Schizosaccharomyces pombe: one gene and its partners. The gene in region 3 interacts genetically with the main gene of each other region. Each region holds a gene or a part of one and is shown on either strand. Other genes may lie near its edges.

Region 1 (4,728 bases), on a different chromosome or scaffold from region 3:
ACATATGCATTTTTCACGACATACCTTTAGGACGGTAAACTACCCAAAACTCCAATATTGTTTTCGGACCATCCAACGTTTTTGATAAAGAATTTACAACTGCTTCAAAACGCCTCGAGGGGACTACTCCTAAAAGATACAGTTCTTGCATAGCATCGCACCTCACCGAAATTGATTTCTTTTATCTCTTAAGCGTCTACTAAAGCTAAGCTACTGATGGTTGTAGAAATAGTGAACAAAATATACAATGCAATGTCAGTAGTAAGGGAAAATTGCTGTTGGAAGCCTAATGAGCAGTGTTTTCAACGCGGTGTAGTTAGCTATGTAACGAACGACCTTAACGATGAAAGAATGAGAATCATTATGAATCGCCATTATGGAACATAGTATTGATCCAATATTTCTTTCACATTTTCTTCGAATTGATACTATTATTGCTTTATTTCCTTTAATAATATTGAGCGCCGTGTTACTTGATTCTTGATTAAATAATCAAACTATAATAGTAAAACAATTCGGTCAACTAATATTTATACCAACATATTTGATTTTTGGGACGTTGTGGTAAACGCCGCATAAAATAAACTTTATATTAGAAAGACGATATAACTTAAGTTGCTATCGAGGTCCAACAAAGCTGAACACTTCAATAACGAATCATTATGAACATGATATCCAAACATTATAGAAATTGAAAATGGAAAGTGATTTCTTATGCATTGTATAAGAGCAAACAGAGTTTAAAAAGAAAACAATAAAAGATTAAAAAAAACTATTTAGCGGTATTAATAATACCAGTTAAACCAATAAAAACATATTAAATGTGAGCTTTTCGAAATGGAAAAAGACCGCCAGGTTAATCAATATCGAGTCACTACGTTTGACCAATTGACTATGTTAAATTAATGTGATAAGTAAACTTTCCGTGTGCTCTCAATTGTTAAAGTATACGCAGAAAACGATATTGTAAAACAAAAATCATCAGACGTTAACGATTTTAACTTTATTTTGTCCATTTCACAACTAAAAGACTAGCAAAGGCTAGCAACAACGAATTAGGAGGAGTAAAGACGGCATAAGACCACCATAAAACTTTGGCACACTCGCGTTCAAATACACCATTCAGTTGGCAGATTTGTGTTAATTGAATGGCGGTTGGGCTTCCCACAAGCAAGAAAATAACAACAACAAAAACAGGATCATCAACAGTACTTATTTCACTGAAGTATGAGAGTAAACTGAAAGCGGGTAATAATGCCAGAGGAACAACTACCATACGGCCAAGAAGACACACAATAATTACTCGAGTATCGTTATTTTTACGGACTTCTTGAGTAGGTTCAGTTTTGGAAATATCAGTAGCAAGACTTGCTCCCAAAACTACCAAAATCATAGGAACAGCAACTTGACCAGCCATTCGAATACCACTGGTGATGCTACCTTCAACGAACGAACCTTCTTCGAAGAAAAAGCGTTGCAGAGGAGGAACAACAGCAATAAATAAGGCGATAAATAAGGAGTATAAAGGAGGGCTGAAGAAATCTAACAGTAAAACAATAAACTTCGAGATCTTCGAAGAGGCTGCTCCAAACCCACCAACTTCTTCGTTAGAGGTTTCAACTTGAACGTTGTCATTTTTGGAAATCGCAGAAGAATCAGTTTGAACAGTTGAGCCCTCATTTGCCTGAACAGAATTTTGAACCCCATCTACATTTGCACTAGAAGCCAACAAATTCTGAATTTCTTCTTCATTAACATCGCTATGTGACCAAGAACGGTTACCGATAGGTAGAGGGTCCTCCGGTTGATTCGGAGAAAGGAGAATACGATAACCATAGGACCAACGAAGAGCTTGACCTAACTGAGAGAAAATAAGCAAATACATAATACCGCGTGAAGCAACCTTATCAGGTGTATCATCGGGAATTTTGTCCCATAGCAAATCCTTTACAGTAGTAGCTAAAGAAGATACCAAGGCCAAAGGTAAGGAATTTGACTAAAGAGTTAGTAAACAAAAACAAACGAACAATATTCTTGCAGGTAAGGTACGTACGTTTTGAAACGTTATGCAGGCAGTGGCGAAATTCCTTTGGCGAGGTGTCAGTCGGAAGAGTTTTGCAAGTAAAAATGATATCAGAATAGAACTGAAAGTTAGCAAAGTGAATGACTTAAATACTTACGCTGCGGAGATGATAACATAAAACACGGGTAAAAGAGAAAGATCAATCAGCATCTTCAAATTCAAACCGTTGCCAACTTTTTCAAATACTAGACAAGGAGTAAAGAAATAAACGTTCAGGCTGGATATTACCTGTGTAAAGTTAGTAAAATACTAGAGAACGCAAAGATAAATGAAGAGAAGAAATTTAATAGTTGAAAATTTATTTCTTTATTTCACTGCTCCATTTTTCTTTAAAACGGGGGGTAAAATGAATCATACCTTCTGAGCATCTCTAGGAAGAAAGCCTTTTTTAGCTAATACATAACCACCCAAAGCGATCACAATAACTTCCAAGTCACTTTCGATAATGGGCCTTAGAAGGCTCCAAACATTAATTTGGCCAAGAGAAGAAAAGAATCCCATAATTTTTCACTAAATGACGGATAAAAAGATTGAATCCTTAAGAAAACTTTTTCACTAGTTAAACCGAATTCCACACAACAACAGGAATCAAATCAAGGAAAAGCAAAAAAAAAAAGAAAAAACCAATAAGGTCGATCAACAGTGAAACCGGTTAAAGTATAACAAGAAAAAAAAGTATTTCCTATAAATAATAGGATAAGATTATTATGCGGTCTATCAACAAAAGCTTCTCAAAAAACAGGAATAAGGAGTAATCACTCTAAAAGTAAATTGATCAAAATGTTCCCAACAAAAGTCAATTCAAATGCCAGAAATTTTCAATCGTCAAAGTCTTTTCTCTGCAAACAGCAGAATGAAAAGGGTAGGTTAAGCTGAAAGGCCTGTTTGTTTTCAAGGTATAGGTTAGAACGACAAAAATTCAAAGCCTCAAAGTCAGTAAACCGCGTGGAGAAACATTGTTACTTAGAATGGCAAACTGACGCATGAAACTGATAGGTAAAAAAAAGATACACAGAAACAATTATTGAGGCTTTATGAAATACTTTCTTTACAAATTAGGGAAAAATAAGATGCTTGTAAGGAGAAATGAAAGAAGAATTCGGCCAATCCATAAATGATCTCTATAACGTAATCAGACTTAGATTTCGTTGTTTTAGGATTTTTAATATTTACGGCAGATCAATTAAAAAAATTACATTAATTTCGAACACCTTCAAGTTTCTCAAAATAAAAAATGAATGTTGATTGATTTTAGTATGGTCGAAAAAAAAAGGGATATACCTACCTGACACTTATTATAGAATCCGTTGAGTCAACTTGTATTCCATTATGAAATTTCTTTTTTATTCGTAACATAATGGTGTTTGTTAAAAATAATATAAAATATTTTAACGTAACGCTATAATTATAAGTTGTGGATAGCAAGGAATTGATACCAATGATAGTATTGTCGAGGATTCACTGTCAAACCATTTTATTTTCTGTTGTTGTAGAAAAATTTAATTGTCCTTAAATTTTCGATCAAACTCGAAAAACTTTTGTTGAAGCTGTACTAAACATCAGATTGGTTTGTGCATGATTGCATTCATTACCGCATAGGTTCGGTTGTGAAATAGCTAAAGCGTTAAATAGCAGAACAATCGTACACAACTTTGTGTAACTTAAATGTGAGTTTTAGCAGAAGATAGCTAGTTTTTATACATTTTCTGCTTTATTGGTTTTGTTTTCTTTATGTCTTCCTTGCAATTTTCTGTTTGTTTTCGAAACATCTGCCGAAGCTCTAACTTTTGCACCTACTGCTCCCAACAATTTTTGCCATCTTTACCAGGTCACATGTTCCTTGCGATGTGGACAGGTTCAATGAAGGTTGGAAGTTTGAAAGCATGTTTGAACATTATAGAAGTATAGACTGGATTCAAAGGGACGAGATTTTATATACAGTAGCAATATTTTAATATGTAACACCGTTTTTCCTGGTTATTTTTATCAAGAGCTTATTGTGTTTGCATGTAAAGATGTATACAGAAGTCCGTAGATAAATTAATACAGTGTTCTATTGTTATGCTTAATTAATTGCTTCCCAAGTATTAAAAATCCTTTGAGAGGTTCCTCTTTTTATCAGTCACGTAACAATTTACGTTAAACCTTCAGTTCTTCATTTGTAGTAAATATTTAATTACAAAAATGGTGAAATTTTTTTAACAATTCTCATGTCGTTAATCAATGAAATGCTTGACAAACAAAATCAGCCAAAAGAAGTGAAATAACTCTGTAGTTAGTAGAATCATAGCACTTAGTCTTGAGAGTTATTATCAATAAATTTTTTATCATATAAATTAAAAAAAAGAAAAGCATGAGGTTTTATTAGTGAGTACAAAAAATTTAACTAATATCAATCAGTTTCTATATTATTTCTTTCCAATTTTTATTTTATTTATTTATTTTTTTTAACTTCACTGCATCCTTACTGTATTGTTAATTACTCCTTTCTTGTTGAAAATAAACGGAAGTAACTGCAGTCATATAAAATTTTGAAGCGATATTTTGCAAGGAAATTTGACGCATCATTAATGGGGAACAATTTTTTTGTCAATTAAATCTATTTACTTTTTTTTTTTTTATTTAAAGCAAGCTTAAAATGGGCC
Region 2 (3,741 bases), on a different chromosome or scaffold from region 3:
TTTTGCTCGGTATGGATTTGTGATACGCAAGTTAAAGGCGAGGAAGGGGGTGATAAGGAAGCATCAAAGGAGGATGCATACGAGTGAGAGTCGGGGAGCGATATTTGGTTCGATAAAAAGTATGCAGAATTCGCTTCCAACAAAGGGTTAAACGGTGTTTTTAGAACAGAACTATAGTCAAACTGATCTTGAAAGTTCTGAAGATGAGAAGGCGGTGAAGGGATAACAGCTTGATTTAAAGACACCTCATTTTCAAAGGGAGCGAAGGAGGAAAAAGAAGTATGCTTGCTATCGCCAAAAGTTTCATAATCCCTTTGGTACGAATGATTACAAGCTGGACTCTCTTCTTGTCGAAATGATTCAAACGACTTTTGCGAAGAAGATGATAAATATGAAAGCGACATTGTCTTGTTTACTTAGGATAGCGAGTATCTAGTGCAATGCGTAGAGAAATCAAGGAGAGAACGATGAGAGAAATGACTCTTGAAAAGAGTGCTTGATAACTTGAAGTGAGATGAAAGTGTGGCTCAAAGCCAGTCTAACCCAGTAGATGATTGAACTAATCACTCTTCGATTTTTTTTTGTTTGTTACAGCAATGTTTGGTGCGCTGGCTATTTGTTTATATCAAATAGCTACTCCGTTGCTATGACGACAATTGTTGAATTTTATGCTTCACTTTACCGCAAAACAAGTCACTATTTGTTTACATTGCATGGATTACCGAACCATATCACAACAACGCAATACAAGTGTAAACACAGACCCAGGGATTGTTTATTTACCTTTTGTTGCCAAAGGGACAAATCAACTATTTTTTGAATTAAACCAGTAAAAGGTTTGATTGAAAGACACTACCACTAATAAACAGGATAATCACGGCTATGAAAATGTCTACGCTTCAACAACTGGATCATGGATGATATTAGAAAACATAGATTAAGTATGACAAGCCAAAAAAAAACGGTAACCAACCTGAAAAAACGACAACGACGTTGAGATCAAAAACCTTAAGGTATTAGTATTAGTATAGAGCTAGCAAGAGAAAAAATGCCATGGAAAAGTTTTTAAATGCAATGAATAAGTTACTTACAACACTGACAATCAAAAGGGCAATCCGGTGTACCTCCACCTTGGCCAATGTTTAATTCCTCCTCGTCATATACAAGAAACCCTTCCTCGGTACGCTTTCCTAAAACACAAAACGTTAATACAATTACTGATGATAAGGAGAAAAGTGCCGTTGCTAGGTAAGTATTGCATCGTTCGGCAAACATTCCCGTAAACAGAATAGCGAATAAGGTTCAATACCACACAATAGAGCTTAATGATTTGGAGTCTCCACCAACACTAAACATCATTGTGAAATGTATCTCCCTAGAAAAACGTAATCTAGCTCTAGCAGTATATAATAAATAAATAAGTATATAGCACAGTTCGAAGTTTCTCAATCTTTTAGACAATAAATATGAATTTGAGGTCAAAGAATTGACAAACAACGCGGATGCCAAACATGAACGAATGCAATCATTAACCAAGTAGCGAGAACGTATGTAAGGATGAACTATCAAACGGCAAAAAGTGTCTTACTTCCTGAGGCTCCCTTTGGATCTAAAAATAAATCGTCTTGGTTATTAGTAGGTTTTGGACGACTTGGAGTAGATTTTGTCTTGGCTCCTTTCTTAGGGGCTTTCGCCTCCGACTTTGAGTCATTTGACTTTTCATTTGCAGGGTTTGCCTTTTTAGAAGCAAAAATGTCGTCGATTTCCATCTTTTAAATACTCGTAGAGAGGAGTTTGCCAAGTCAATGGCAATTGTATAATTGAGTAGAGAGACAGTTTGTTGTAGCTTGCAAACTTGCTAGAAATTCTTTTGCGGTACCGTGCTTCATAAAATAAGAATTCTCTAAAATGCTTAAATCTGCATAACGTATTCTCTCGTATTACGGTAAAGAATTTGTAATATTTATAAGAATGATTCTTCAGAAGAAACTTGTACCAGCATTAAGGCATGAGATTGATCGATTCCTTTTTTTTCCTTTGGTTCTTTATTATGTTTAAAATTGTTTAATTTTGTTTAGAAGCTGTATCACCTCTGTCATCGGTATTTCGAAACGGCAATAAAATGTAGACAATTCTTTGGCCAAGCTTTCTTTATAAAAGCATATTTAGGTCAACTCTATCCTAATACCATAAATTAACACTTTTTGTCTTCATTTAAGAAGCGAATTATTGCTGTATCAAATTAACAAATGCAAAATCTCATTGCTTAATAAACGAAATACTTTAGTAATTAAGCATAAGATAAAAATAAAGTGAATACTATTTGACAATGAAAATCAGCTCAAAACCTCTGTCAATTCTTTTTCAGCCTAGAAACCACCTTAGAGAAATAAGGCAAAACATTTGAATACAAATATACAAAACACAAATTATTAGTGGTAGAACAATTCAAAAAATTCGAAACCTCTTCTTCAGTTGATCAATTCATAATTAGAAATACAATTCCTTTTACAAAGTTTACTTCCTTACTCTGCAAAAGCGCCTCTATACATAGCAAACCGCAACAAAATTAAATACCTATATTACCTAAATTAAAAACATAACTTTTTTTTGACCAACAAAATGCCATGCTTAAATTGGCGAGACGTAAAAATGCCGTGCATTTCAATTTAACCAATGGAAACCTTTTCTCCTTCAGACTTTCACTCTTTTAGGACCGGACTCAAGCTCTTCATCATTTTCAGTGCTGCGCTTCTCCCCCAAAGGCTGAGTATTGGCTGAACTGCCAGAAACAATACGACCATACTGGCGTGCACGTTCATGAACACGCTTAGATGGTTCATCCTGTTTCATGAAACGATACCATTCATCAGGAGCTCGACGAAAAAGCTCGACCTTCCAGTTTGAGCAAACTTTTTTGCCATAGAAATCAAATTTGACGTCGTCACCACCTTCAGCCAACTCACGAACAATTCTTGTACGATAAAGCGGCAATGCCCTTGTGGCCTTCCACGCTTTATCTACAATATGCGAACCAGGAGCAGAAACAGCTAATGTAGCAAATGATCCGGAAAGGATATTGAGAAATTTTTTAAGAAATACCGGGTTTAAGTCTGATAAATCAAGAATTCCTTCTATCAAGTGAGAGGATACTGTTTCCAGACAATATTCCAAAATCTGCTCTTTTGAGAGATCTAAAACGCTATCTAATAATAACTGAATATGTTGTTTCTCACAGTGAAGCATTTCTTCTAACAGTTGAGCACCCAGTAAATTATTAACAAGTTTACGCTCTTTGTTTTCTGGGTTGGCTTTATCACGTTTATGCTTCGATCGGAGCAAGCATGGAATAATGTTGGCATCCTTTCCACTATTTGTTACGCTTGTCTGAATCATTGAAAATATGTCATCTTGATAACAATGTAAATGGTTACTCTTCTCAAGTAATGTCCTTAACACTGGAAGAAATGACTTCCTAATGATGTTGTCTGTATTCTTCTTTAATTCATCAATGACAGAACCAATCTCCTTCCTTCCCAACCTTCTTATGTAACGTTGCATTATAAAATTGGCTATAGGATGAACACAAAGCCGATAAAAACGTCCTTCAAAGACGGCATAAAATCTGAGTAGATGAGAGGCTGACATGTTTTCAACGATGACCTCCAGAATACGCGAGCCAGTTTCGTCCTTCAACAAAGTTTCCATAAACGGTAATTCTTTTAAATCGTACTCGTTAGA
Region 3 (8,008 bases):
TCATTTTTAGATAGGAGAAATATTAATAAATAAACTATGTCTAAGATTCAAATGATTGAAAACGTCCCGCTACTCGTGTTATTAAAAAAGTAATACTGTAAAATACTCATACTAAAACCTAAATCGGCTACTTCCTTTTGAAATGCTCAACTTTTGGAGGTGCAAAACCGTGGGCCATCGCCGCCAGAGCAAGTTTCGATTTGGGCTTTTTTGATTTTTTCATATGGCCTTTATCTTTATTTTTTTCCACATAACCCGGCTTTTTGGAAGACGCTTGTTCAATTTCAGATTCGTCTATTTTGTTTAACACATCTTGCTTGGAACTGGATGATTCATCAAGGCGTGGTTTCGTGACCTTATTATCAGCAGCAGTCTGATCAGTGGAAACTTTGTTCTTAGCGCGCTTATTCGGTATATCTTCATCTCTCTCAGTTCCTCTTGACAAATTAGCACTATCTATATTGTGCCGTTTTTTGACTTTATGTGCTTCTTGTTTTTCCTCACAGATACCAACCGACGGCGACTTAATTGGGGTATCCCGTGAGGCTAAATTTAAATTGTTAGATGCGAGGTGTGTCGAAACGTTTGATATACTTTTTGAGTTCTTAAATTGATTAGCACTCAAGTCTCTCCAAACACCACGAGTTTTTGCGTCTTCAATCAAGCTATAAAAAATATCCTCTTGCATTAGCGGTTTAGAATTGCCTACGATATACAAAGATGATTTAGCTCTTGTTAAAGCTACATTAAGCCGACGAAGATCTTGAAGGAAACCGATTCCACCGCTCATCGAACTCCTAACGCAAGAAAAAATTATAATGTCCTTTTCCTGTCCCTGAAACCCATCGACGGTATGAATATCAAGATGCTTGAATATAATGGAACCATACTTTCTTTGAAATTGTGATCGAAGCTGTTGTACTTGACTTCTATAAGGGGTAACAACTCCAATTTTCCCCTCAAAATCAATGTTTAGATAACATTGAATTAGCCTCTCATATAATAATAAAATAAACGAAGCCTCTTCCACATTGTACAGAGACTTTGAGTTGGAAAAAGCTTCCGTCCCGTGAACATTAAAAAATCGATAAATACCTAGCTGCGGATCCTCGTGCCAAGGTCGAGATGTCACTGCTGACATATTGGGACCGTCAAGTAGTTTTGAATTATAGAAAAACTTGCTGGGAAATCGGCTAATTTCAGGATTCATTCTATACTGTATGCTAAGAAGACAAGCGCTCTCATTATGCTGTTTGAACATTCTGACATATAGAGATTGTGAATATCCAAACTTTGCAGAGGTTTTTGATAGCACAGTAGGAGGAAGCTGATTCGGATCACCAACCATTACACAGCTCTCACAGCCATACTTAAGAGGTATGATTGAACTTAATTCAACGGCTTGTGCAGCTTCATCAATTATGACAGTTCGAAAAGTCAAACCCGCATTTAAAAGTAGTTCATGACCACTCGCAGATAAGGTAGCACATACAATATCAGCTTCCTGAAGTAGTTGATTTTGTATTTGTTTTTTCAAAACATCCAGATTACGATTAGTTGAGCGTTGACGTTCTCTCATATCATCAAGGCTCTGTTCAAGCATGTTTTTCTGTTTGGTAATCTCACGAAGCTGTGCTTCCAATATTGAACTATTTTTTCCAGTACTACGAAACTTTTCTAGATCTTCGCGTAAAGAGTCCCTTTTTTTAATAATTGAGTCATATTTTTTCCGAGTATCACTGGAATTGTTTGCTTCTTGATCTTTCTTTAGGTTCGTAAGTTCCATTTGCTTTATCATTTGCTCTTCCAAAGTAAATTCTTTAGCGTGAACGCTTATGGAGTCACCAAATCCAACACGAATAACTTTTGGAAAAAATTTGATACCCTCATGATCGTAAACACCGGCTTTGATACGAAGGAGAATTTCATCTATGGCTGCATTACTAGGAGCGCATATTAAAATCTTATTCTTTGAGGTTTTTCGCGTCTGTCCTGGGACATTAAATTGCAACCCTTGACTAGAAGAAGTAAGTACAGCTCCAATCATGCCTAGAATGGTTTTAGTTTTTCCAGTTCCAGGAGGCCCTTGAATGAGCGTAAAACCATCATTTACAGAAGATGCATAAATCGCATATGCCTGGGGTTCATTTACACCATAAGACTTCATTATTTTTTGCTTTTTGTCATCTGTAAAATTTGAAGGTAGACGCGTTACATTGGCATCCAGAATTCTCTGAGACAATGGTAAATGGCGAAGAGATTTTAAAGCAGCAAATTCACGTAAGCTAGTAGTAGCATTAAATAATTTTTGTGCTGTGAACCTAATGTTCGGTGCATACTCCTGTAGATCAATTGATTCAATATTCATCCGCAGACAGAGTTCAAGTGATTCTTTTTTACGAGAAATGGATTGAATTTTGCACAACTGAAAAGATTTTGGGTTATTAGTATCGCCCGAACTTTGTGATTTTGACAGTAAGCAAATATCTGTATCACTTAAAAAAGAGACTTCGGTAGGTGAACAGGACGTAAAGTAAATATCGACAAAGTTATCAACTGTACTGCGGGTGTTGAGGATTAAATCTATGGGAGGGTATTGCTTTTCTTCAACGGCACTTTTCACTTGAGCCCAACATTCATGAAACAACATTGGTTTGAAAACTTTCTCATAAGCGTTTGAATCATTATACGTGAATTTAGCTTGGACGCACTGCATCTCAACATTAGACGCCGAAAAAGAATCAGCTAATGGGTTCCAACCCAAAATTACTTTGTAAAACTCTTGAACATCAGGGTTTAGCCGGAGTCGAGCAAGTTGTGCACTTTGTTGAGTATTACGGCGCAATTGAGTAGGATGAACTACATTTTTTGTTTTAAGGGAATCAAAGTCCAAGAACTGAATCTGCCTTCTTTGTGGAAGAGATTTAGAGGCATGAGAATTAGCTTCACGTGCAAGCGAGAATAGACCGTTACTAGACTCTTCTTCGGACTCCGAGGTATCTTCATCGGAAGTTGAAGTATTTTTGTCATCTGGATTAGAATAACTTTTAGAAGTGTGCAAAAGTGAAGGCTTGCGAATTGGGTCAGCAGAATCGAGCTTTTGCAAAGCTTTTGGTATATGATTATCCGAATTAAGTTTCTCAGAAAGATGGTTCCCCGCACTGGTTCTTGGAACTTTCGCGGATTCGCGAATTCGCTGTGTTGTCTCTTGTTTAGATTTCAAAAAATTTAAATTTTGAGATTTTTGAGCATTTCTATTGATGGCTTTAGAAGCAGAAATAGCCTTCGGAGGAAGCAAAAAATGATTTGAAGTACTAATGTTTGACTCAGGTAATTTTTTCGCAATCCCAATAGTCTGGTCTTTAGAAAGCAAACCCCGATCATCACTCTGTAACTTAGTTTCAAGCGTATTGGTATCATTGAAAGGAGAGTGATTAAGAACGTCTTCTGAAAGGTATGGTGTGAGCGATATAAAAAGATCCTCTCTCTCAGTGAATGTAAGAATTGTTTGTTCATCACTGGTAATTGATGCCCTATGGATAATATCAATCACATTTTGACTAATTGGACACTCCAACTTTTTACAAATTTTAAGCATTTTACAAATCACTTTCACAACGGATGTTAGAAGTGAAGAATCAGTTAACTTAAGCCAATAAGATACAGTAACCAAAGAATCAGCTATACACATAGCTAAAGCACTGCCCTTATCATTAGCCGAAACAATTTTAATATCGTTATCCGATAATCCAAAAATGAATCCGTTAACTTCCTCAAAAATATTAATGAGCATATCGCAAAAATCAAGGGTATCCCGCATTAAATCAACTAAATTGTCCTTATCATGAACTGGCCAAGTAGGAAGAACAATGAAAAAATGAGTAAAGAATTTCCATAACGATTCCCAGAAATTCTTAAGGGATTCTTTCTTTTCCACTTGTTTTGCAAAAGTCGCATCCTTAGAAGTTAAGCCATCAACAGAGTCAAAAATAGTGTTTATAATTAATTTATTAAAATAAACAATGTGCTTGGCTCCTCCAAAGTTTCTGACTTTAAGCCACTGCAGAAGAACATAACATGAAGAATTTAGTGTATTTGAAAACTGGCTTCTCAATAGCTCTCCTATAGTATCAACAACGCTGTCAGAAAGCGAAATAGATTTAATAATTGAGATACTTCCTGTTGAGATCTCAAGAATTGGAGAAAAAACGAGTGAAAAGATTCCACGAAAAGTTAAAGGATTTGAAACCAATTGGGTTTGTGCCGACAAATGCCAACATTGAGTCTGAATAAGCATTTCAGAAAATGTTGCAACAAATCCGTTTAGTGCATTTTCGAAATCACTTTTGAACGGAATGTCAACTTTCTTAGGCGGCAACTTATCAATCAAGCAAACTGTAGAGCAAGCACGAAAAACAATACGAACCATAAAGAACTTCTCCTCTCGAAATACGTTTTGCAAATATACCCAAAAATTTTTAAAAGACTCACTTACCGATTTGATATTCAAGGGTGGCTTTCTATTTCTGTCCAAATAATGGCAATAGAATTGCTTCAAAATATAAAGATCTAAATTCAATCGGTATTCAAAAACTTTCTTAATAAGCCTCCATTCAACAGACTCTTCATTTTCCAAGTTTAGCAAACGAAACAGCTCGTCAAACTTAATCGCTAAAGTGGAATGTAATTCAAATACTTTGTTTTGTAAACTTTGATCACTATGGGGGAAAATCATAAAATATTCGGAAAACAAAACTGAAAATATGTCAGCAAGTGATTGAAGTAACTGAACATTTTTGAAACCGACTTCCAGTTCCTTTTTATATTGCATGGTGTAATTAATCAAAATTTTGTTAATTAATTCAACTTCATCAATGATTGAAATTGTCTTCAAAAGAGAGGTAGCCCATTCAAACGGATTCTCTGCCTTTTGGTCGTTTGAAAAATTGGATGTATTTTCTTCTGTCCACCTCTTATAAGCATTACCATTAAAAATTTTATCTATTACTTCACTGGGAGAAATTTCTGGCGTCCAAAAATTACGTCCATAGCAGTATAACAAAGAATGTAAACATACAAGGAAAGACGGACATAAATTAGTATGGTCGCTTTGCAATCCCGAAAGAATAAAATCGGCGACATTGAAATTTTTTCCTGTAAGTCCCCTAAAATAAAGATGATCAACATGCTTTAACAGCAACGATAAACCTTTCAGAAAAATTTGCATCTCGTTCTCATTTTCTTTCTTCTGGTCTAAAGAACGAATTTCCTGAAGAAGGGGACCCTCAAGGATTTTAAATTCATTATCGGAGATTGTTTTTACATCACTTAAAATACTGCAAGCCCATCTTCGGAGCTCATCATCTCTCGAGAAGAGAAGACTTATGACACCTGGCACTAGGTTTTTCGAGAGCCGAAGAAAACCGGACTCAAGAAATCTGTTTCGGAACAAGGGAAAGATTTCTTTATTATGTAAAATACGAGGAGAGTATAAGATTTCGTAGAAGGCGCATAGTATAGGTTTAGAGGCCGAGGACGTGTCGATTTTAGGCACTGTTTTGAGAACTTCCTGTAACCGAAAAATGTCCCAACTATAAATTTTCTCCATTACAATCTCAAGAGTATTTGGGTCAAAGTGAAAAATGTTTAAACATAGACTTTTGAAATCATCTAAAGATTGGTGATATTTAACTATACATTTGGGGCATAACTGAAGGCGTTCGTTCAAATGTTTTTTGAACCATACCAGATACTCGTTATCATTTTGAAAAGAAAATAGAAAAAGACATTCACGAACTGCTACTTGTAATTTAGGATCACAAACCCAATGAGGGTTTTGTCTGTTAGTATTTAGGTATGAAAGCGCCAAATGCAAAACTTTATTGGACCCTTCGAAAGATGGGTGTTTTTGATTTTCCTGAATTTTTCTTATTAATCTATCAAAAGCCTCGTCATTTTCCATAACCACAAGCTAATGCTGCATTCTCACTCTCGAAGTAGACTTATTAAAGCGCGACTGCAATTTTTCAAAATCTAGGTTTCTAAGGAAGTAAATTACACTATTCACTATAAACATTTAGTGCAACCAATCATTTGATGTCCACACAGCACTCGATTATCGCATTGAAATAAAATAGCCTTAAGAGAAATTTTAAATAAAAAAATGAACGTATATTTTGAAAGTGTATATAAATTCATGTACCAAAATCACGCTTCTTTATTGTAATTAAGATATATATGATTATCCGAAATATATTTTAAACATTACTATATATAATGTGACAACTTAAAAAACTTTCTTACCCATTATAATCCGAAGTTTGTGATTGTGTGTTTAATTCCTAGTTTCAAATATGACTATTTTCTTCACTGAGCAAAGAATCACAGTTCATTTTATTCAGTATATTTAAAAATTTTGCAGTAACATGATATATTCGTTTCATATATTTCCTTTGTAAGGATTTAATTCGCATGCAATCTTTGCGTCAACATACAAGCTTAAATCATTTTTGCTAGTTCTTTGTGATATTCATACATTAATAAAATAGACGTCAAGGAATAATCAATCCTTGTTTTGAATAAAAATTTTCTTTTAAACTTTTAAGCTGTTCACGAATTGACCTGCAACAAAGAAAAAAAAAATATTGATCAATCATATAACTTTTCTATATGACTTTGTCTCTCAAATGAATCAAATAACCATAAACAAAGCCGAAAACCAACTGGATGTGAAATTTTTAAAGAAAATATTCAGTCAAAATTACTGATTACCATTTTTCTCAAAAAGCAAACGTGCGAGGCGCTTATAGTCAGAAAGAAGAAGTTCAATTTCACCGATTTTAAGATCGCTAGCATCAGAAACAGTCAAAAAGCGTTCCAAAGGTGGGTCGCCCACGAATTCTACAGAATTGGAAGAATCTTCTGAACTTTTGGCAGTGTGATTGGCTACTTTACTAAGTAGAGAGGCATAAGATTTCTCAAGTGCTAGTCCCAGATTTCTTAAATTAGATAAAGATGAGCGATTCACAGGGTAGGGTTCTGCACTCGGATCATGAAGCGAGTTAGAGGTCGAAACTGTTTCGCTATTAGCTACCTCAAGTGAAAGAGGATCATCAGAGGGTTGAATTGACGATTGAGTTAAAAGATTTGGACAAGCTCGAAGAATAAAAGTAAGGGCTGCCTCAAAAGTTGTGAGACAGTATCTTTGCTCTCCGCTTAAAAAATCTGCATTTCGAAAGCGTAACACAAAATTCAGGTGCGATATTAAATGAAATCCGGGATAACAGAGAATGCAATATATGGTCAAATTTAATAAAGAATCAGCATTCAATTCTTCTTGAGGAAGTTGAGAGGCATTCAATATACTTGAATTAACGGTCATAAAAGTGTTTATTTTCGATCTAGGTGTGTGTTGCTCATCGAGAGCAAAAAATGCTTCAGAGACTTCATGTAACCGGTTTGTAAGTTTTTCATCATCAGGTATTGGAATGCAATTGATAAGTTCTTTCTTTTCTTCAGAAGCAATAAATTTTTTTAACAAGTCATCTTTGGCAGCATCCGTACTTGTAGATAAACAGAAAATCCTAACACAATATTAGTAAACAGTTATTGTAGGCGAAGTAATCACATACCGATCATACAAATATTCGCAAACTATATCTTCAATTTGGTCCATCCATTCATCTTTTTGGTTCAGCAAGTGTTGTCTCGCCTTTTTCTGAGCATCTATTTCCTCAGGAAACAAAAGAGGCACATTTTGATCTTTTGAAGAGGGTTGAGGGATAAGGGTTGAAGCAATAAACTCATCGGTATGCTTGTAAAAGTTTTGAAATGCTTTTGCTAGTTCTTCAGGCGAAAGCAATTGAGGGTGAACCGGACTAACTAGAGAAGAGATAAACTGTATCACACATGCTTGTACAGTAGTTGGAAGATTTGATGCAGAATTTGGGAGTTTGATGTCTTCTTCCTTAGGCTTATTTGTATATTTAACAGCTCTCCAAGAATTCAG
Region 4 (5,533 bases), on a different chromosome or scaffold from region 3:
CTTGCAGAAAATACAACATAAGTGATGAAGATTTGGCAAATCCTAGCGAACTTACTCAAGAACCCGTTGTAGTTGTAGGACGAATTGTTGTCGAAAGTACCAATTTAGGTGGAAGACTCAACCAAAATAGCATTTTACTTGAAAGTTCAAGACGTCTAGGCGCTGGTGTTCGAGTTCGTTTGAAGGTGGATGATCTACCAAGTTACTCAATATTTCCTGGTCAAATTGTTTCAGTTAAAGGATCCAATCCTAGCGGTAACATGTTTATCGCCAAGGAAATCCTTCCTATACCTCCTTTGCCGTTCCCAAGTTCATCTAAACAGGAGCACGCTACCTTTGTTGCTAATACAAATAATCAGCCAATTTCTATATATATTGCATCTGGACCTTGGTCTCTCCGTGATGATCTCTCTTTTTCCCCTTTAAAATCAATGATTTCATATGTAAATAAAAATCCTGTTGACTTGGTTATTCTATGTGGTCCATTCTTGGATATTAATCATATACTAATACGTACCGGAAACATTACAGGAACGTCTGCGACTTCTTTGGAAGAGTTGTTTAAAGAGCGTGTCACACCCATATTAAGCCAGCTAACTTGTCCTTGTATTTTAATTCCTCACATCAATGATGCTGCTTCAGATCATCCTGCATGGCCACAGGATGCATTTAATCGGGTGGCCTTAGGTCTTCCATCTGTATGTTAAGTTGTATAATAATTTTTATTGACCAATCCATAGAACTTCAAATGCTTCCCGAATCCTTGCATGTTTTCCATTAATGATGTCGTCTTTGGTGTGTCAACCAACGATATACTCCTTCACACATCTAGAGAAGAGTTATTTCGTCTACCTTCTCATGGTAACTTATTTGCACGTTTGGTTTCTCACGTACTTCACCAAAGGCATTTTTATCCCTTATTCCCTGGAGGTTCTCTTGAAAAGTGCAACCCTTCAAACTTAGATATCGCACATCTTAAACTTGGTGAATTCCTAAATACTATGCCGGACATACTAATTTTACCAAGTGATTTACGTTATTTCGTAAAGGTATGTTAATTTTCTACTTTGTTTTAACTAATGTTATAGAACGTTGAAAACGTTGTATCATTGAATCCTGGTAAAGCGACCAAAGGGATTAATTTGGGCACTTTTGCAAAATTAACTATCGCGCCATTAGAGCTCGGGGATAATGGTTCTTCTAATCATTATTCACATCGTGTATGGCTTCGAACCAAGGCAGAAATTTTAAAACTATGATAATTATACTCTCTTTTTCTGCGGAATTTATTGAAAATATAAAAAATTCAGCGTTAAATATCATTGGTTATCATTATTTATGTAGATGTCTACCATAGACCGTTAGAATTAATTAACTTTTCAGCTTTCATTTTCTATCTATCGCTATTTTGGTTTTCTTCAAATTTTGTTTGCAAAATTACTCATATGTTTATGTTGTTAATTTAACCATTTTCCTCAAATGTCTAAGACAATCTCTGATATATCTCAAATCGCTACTCGCGAACTTTTAGTCGTTGTTTTATAGTTGAATGAGTATTCCTTTTATACTGTAGTATTTGAATGTTCAACATTTTTTCGATTTGGACTCTAGTCTTGGTGTTTCACATCTCAACCTACTTAGTCACTACAGTTGACCTCCAACATACATAGGGGAAGTAGTGCAAATGCCTGTTATTCCTCCAGAAAAGCTTGTGTCCTTACAAAAAAATCAGGAAAATATTCGTAATTTTACATTACTTGCTCATGTAGATCATGGAAAGGTATGAATTTTGCAATTTTAAACTTTTTTGAATAGTTGCTAATGATTAATTAAAGACAACCCTTGCAGACAGTTTACTAGCTTCGAATGGAATCATATCTAGCAAACTTGCTGGTACTGTTCGTTTTCTTGATTTTCGCGAAGATGAAATTACGAGAGGTATTACTATGAAGTCTAGCGCCATTTCATTGTTTTTTAAAGTTATAAGCCAAAATGATGAAAAAAGAGTTGAAAAAGATTACCTGATTAATCTTATCGATTCTCCTGGTCATGTTGATTTCAGTTCTGAAGTATCTTCGGCCTCAAGGCTTTGCGATGGTGCATTTGTTTTAGTAGACGCAGTTGAGGGTGTTTGTAGTCAAACAATTACTGTCCTTAGACAAGCATGGATAGACCGTATAAAGGTGATTTTAGTCATTAACAAAATGGATCGTTTGATTACTGAACTGAAACTGTCTCCTATTGAAGCTCATTATCATTTGCTTCGACTTGTTGAACAAGTAAATGCTGTCATTGGCACCTTTTATACTGGTGAGCTTATGCAATTAGCTGATAACGACGAAGTCATCAGTGATGAAGGTATATATTTCGCACCTGAACAGGGAAACGTTGTGTTTGCTAGTGCATACGATGGCTGGGCATTTTGTTTGGACCAATTTTCAGAATTTTACGAAAAAAAGCTTGGATTAAAACAAAAAGCACTTACAAAATGTCTCTGGGGTGATTATTATCTAGACCCTAAAACTAAAAGAGTTCTTCAGCCCAAACATCTTCAAGGCCGACGGTTAAAACCAATGTTTGTACAATTTGTTCTCGAAAACCTCTGGGCTGTTTATGAATCAGCTGTGAGCAATAGGAACCTTGAAAACATTGAGAAAATCATTAAGGCATTAAACATTAAAGTTCTTCCCCGTGACATCAAATCCAAAGACCCTAGAAATTTGCTACTTGCGATTTTTCAACAGTGGTTGCCACTATCAACTGCAATTTTGTTAACAGCGATTAGGGAAATTCCTTCTCCTATTAACGCCCAAGCGAATCGAGCTAGGAAAGTTTTGAGTTCAACTCCTCATTACGAAATGATAGATCCAGATATTACACTGGCTATGGAAAGTTGTGACGCTAGTAAGGAACAGCCTGTTTTGGTATACATAAGTAAAATGGTAGCTTTTTCTGAAAGAGATCTTCCTAATCATCGTCGCAAACAACTTAGTGCTGAGGAGATGAAATTGATACGTTCAAAATTATCTGAATCAATTGAGAGCGGCATAAATACCATTTCTATTGAGGAAAACGTTTCTTCTACCAACTCTGACAATTTAGAAGGTAGCACAACTGACATGGACGATGATAAGGACATTTTAATTGGCTTTGCTAGGATATACAGTGGCACAATTTCAGTTGGACAGGAAGTATATGTTTATGGTCCAAAATATGATCCAGTCAATCCTGAAAAACATATTACCAAGGTAACGGTTGAGTCATTATATTTAATGATGGGACAGGAGCTAGTTTATTTAGAGACAGTTCCCGCTGGTAACGTTTTCGCAATCGGTGGCCTTGCCGGAACGGTTTTGAGAACAGCAACACTATGCTCATCTCCAAATGGTCCTAATTTAGTGGGCGTAACTCAGCAAATGGAGCCCATTGTGCGGGTCGCTTTAGAGCCTGTTCGTCCATTTGAGATGAACAAGTTAGTGACTGGCCTTGACATGCTTAATCAAGCCGATCCATGTGTTCAAATAGCCGTTGAAGAAAATGGAGAGCATGTAATTATGTGTGCCGGAGAGATTCATTTGGAAAGATGTTTAAAAGACCTTAGGGAACGGTTTGCAAAAATTGAAATACAAGCATCTCAGCCACTTGTGCCATATCGGGAAACTACCATAGCTACACCCGACTTATTAGCAAAAAATAAAGAACTGAGTATTGGCTTTGTCACTGCAACGTTACCAGTTGGCGGAGTTACGATTGGAATTACAGTAACACCTCTTTCTGGGTCTGTCGTAGATTTTCTGCTGAAGCACTCTAAAACAATTGAAAATGTTAGCAGCAATTTTTCAAAGAAAAATAGAAACGTTGTTGTCTCGGAATCTTTAACAAAAAGTATGGAGGAAGTGTTGACTCCTGAGAAGTTTTATGAAAGGCTTTCCAAGCTTTTAGAGGAAGAGAACTCTGACTTAGGCGAGCTGAAAAATCATTTGGATAGGTAGGTTATACTAGTGTTCTATTGGTTGATTACTAACAATACTAGTATCATTGCGTTTGGCCCCAAACGAGTGGGTCCTAATATACTTTTTGACAAAACCAAGAAGATGAGAGATTTTCGACGACAAAGCGATGAAACAAAATTAATACCCTCAGACCTTTCTGAATATGTAGTTACTGCATTTCAACTAATAACGCACCAGGGACCATTGTGTGCTGAACCCGTTCAAGGCATTTGTGTGTCAATCGATCAGTTTGACATATCTGATGACTCGGAAGATAGTAAGTTACTTACCATCAATAATCCCCAAATCCCCGGTCAAGTTATTTCGGTAGTGAAAGAGTCTATTAGACATGGATTTTTAGGTTGGTCACCGAGACTTATGCTAGCCATGTATTCTTGCGATGTTCAGGCCACATCTGAAGTCTTGGGTAGGGTATATGGTGTTGTTTCGAAGCGACGAGGACGAGTAATTGATGAAGAAATGAAGGAAGGGACTCCATTTTTTATTGTAAAAGCCTTGATTCCAGTTGTTGAATCCTTTGGATTCGCTGTAGAAATTTTGAAAAGGACATCTGGTGCTGCCTATCCTCAATTAATCTTCCATGGTTTTGAGATGCTAGACGAGAATCCCTTTTGGGTTCCAACTACTGAGGAGGAATTGGAAGATTTAGGCGAGTTAGCCGATCGCGAAAATATTGCTAAGCGCTATATGCTGAACGTTCGAAAAAGGAAAGGCTTATTGGTAGAGCAAAAGATTGTTGAAAAGGCAGAGAAGCAGAGGACACTGAAGCATTAAAGATAGTACTTGATTCCAATTTCTTTAGGAAAACGAAAAGATTGTAATTTGATGACAATGACCTGGTTAGATGGAGGTAATGTTTTTTTTTTTTTTTTTGTTACATTGTTGAGGTAGCTGTGATTTTGAGTTAAGTGTTTCATGAACTATGGGACTAAGATTAGAAGTCTATAAGATGAATAGTGTAAAACGCACATGCAAGATTCTTTAGGCTTCTTTTTGTTATGTTTTAAATTGTTAATACAAATTCAAATTTCCAAAAAATACCGATGTTGTGGGATATGCATAATACAAATAATGATATACTCTACTGCGTAATCGCTAGAAGGTGATAGATTACAGACGCGACGCGCCAAAACACAAACACATCTTTGTACTAATTCAAATTCTAGTATTTTGAAAACTATTCGCCTTAATGTTTTTTGACGGATGGAAAATGCAAAAGATTTTATAGGAGAAACAATAAAGGAGAATGGATTACTTACCATTGAAGATGATGGTAGCAGTAGTTCAGATGAAGAAGCTACTTTAAAACGACGATTGGCAGGCCCTTCTGTTCTCAAGTCAGGACAGGAAAATGTTAATCAAAAAAAGATTAACGAGATAATTTACGAAGCTTCCAAAGGAAGTAAGTTTTTTGAAGCCGAACAAAAACGAGACCGAGAACTTCGTTTAAGAATAGAAAAGGTTCAAGTTGAGGTAGAAAAATACCAATCAAAATTAAGGTTTGATAAAGCGTTTCAAAG

Evidence for each region.
Region 1: mutations in dbl8 (region 3) and SPOM_SPAC5D6.04 together harm fitness more than expected from each alone (negative genetic interaction), as found in Schizosaccharomyces pombe (one large-scale study listed by BioGRID).
Region 2: mutations in dbl8 (region 3) and SPOM_SPAC6G9.01C together harm fitness less than expected from each alone (positive genetic interaction), as found in Schizosaccharomyces pombe (one large-scale study listed by BioGRID).
Region 4: mutations in dbl8 (region 3) and ria1 together harm fitness more than expected from each alone (negative genetic interaction), as found in Schizosaccharomyces pombe (one large-scale study listed by BioGRID).

What each region holds. Positions count from the first base shown.
Region 1 is NC_003424.3:1,504,588-1,509,315, forward strand, and holds SPOM_SPAC5D6.04 (auxin family transmembrane transporter), read right to left. Parts: upstream 2,989-4,728; 5' UTR 2,585-2,988; coding exon 2,441-2,584; exon of another isoform or gene 2,312-2,440; coding exon 2,181-2,311; exon of another isoform or gene 2,145-2,180; coding exon 2,054-2,144; exon of another isoform or gene 1,997-2,053; coding exon 1,004-1,996; 3' UTR 501-1,003; downstream 1-500. Other genes in the region: mediator complex subunit Med18, read right to left, coding at 25-151.
Region 2 is NC_003424.3:3,240,564-3,244,304, forward strand, and holds SPOM_SPAC6G9.01C (uncharacterized protein), read right to left. Parts: upstream 1,835-3,741; 5' UTR 1,770-1,834; coding exon 1,589-1,769; intron 1,434-1,588; exon of another isoform or gene 1,191-1,433; coding exon 1,092-1,190; exon of another isoform or gene 1,008-1,091; coding exon 1,000-1,007; 3' UTR 555-999; downstream 1-554. Other genes in the region: DNA-binding transcription factor Ace2, read right to left, coding at 1-404; RNA-binding protein Nop9, read right to left, coding at 2,695-3,741.
Region 3 is NC_003423.3:2,557,166-2,565,173, forward strand, and holds the start of dbl8 (ATP-dependent RNA helicase Dbl8), read right to left. Parts: upstream 6,005-8,008; 5' UTR 5,963-6,004; coding exon 128-5,962; 3' UTR 1-127. Other genes in the region: guanyl-nucleotide exchange factor Muk1, read right to left, coding at 6,761-7,583, 7,632-8,008.
Region 4 is NC_003421.2:288,228-293,760, forward strand, and holds ria1 (GTPase Ria1), read left to right. Parts: upstream 1-1,652; 5' UTR 1,653-1,684; coding exon 1,685-1,780; exon of another isoform or gene 1,781-1,835; coding exon 1,836-3,988; exon of another isoform or gene 3,989-4,033; coding exon 4,034-4,787; 3' UTR 4,788-5,003; downstream 5,004-5,533. Other genes in the region: spb70 (DNA polymerase alpha B-subunit), read left to right, coding at 1-698, 741-1,049, 1,089-1,259; kpa1 (DinB-like DNA repair polymerase kappa), read left to right, coding at 5,217-5,533. UniProt on the Schizosaccharomyces pombe protein: GTPase involved in the biogenesis of the 60S ribosomal subunit and translational activation of ribosomes.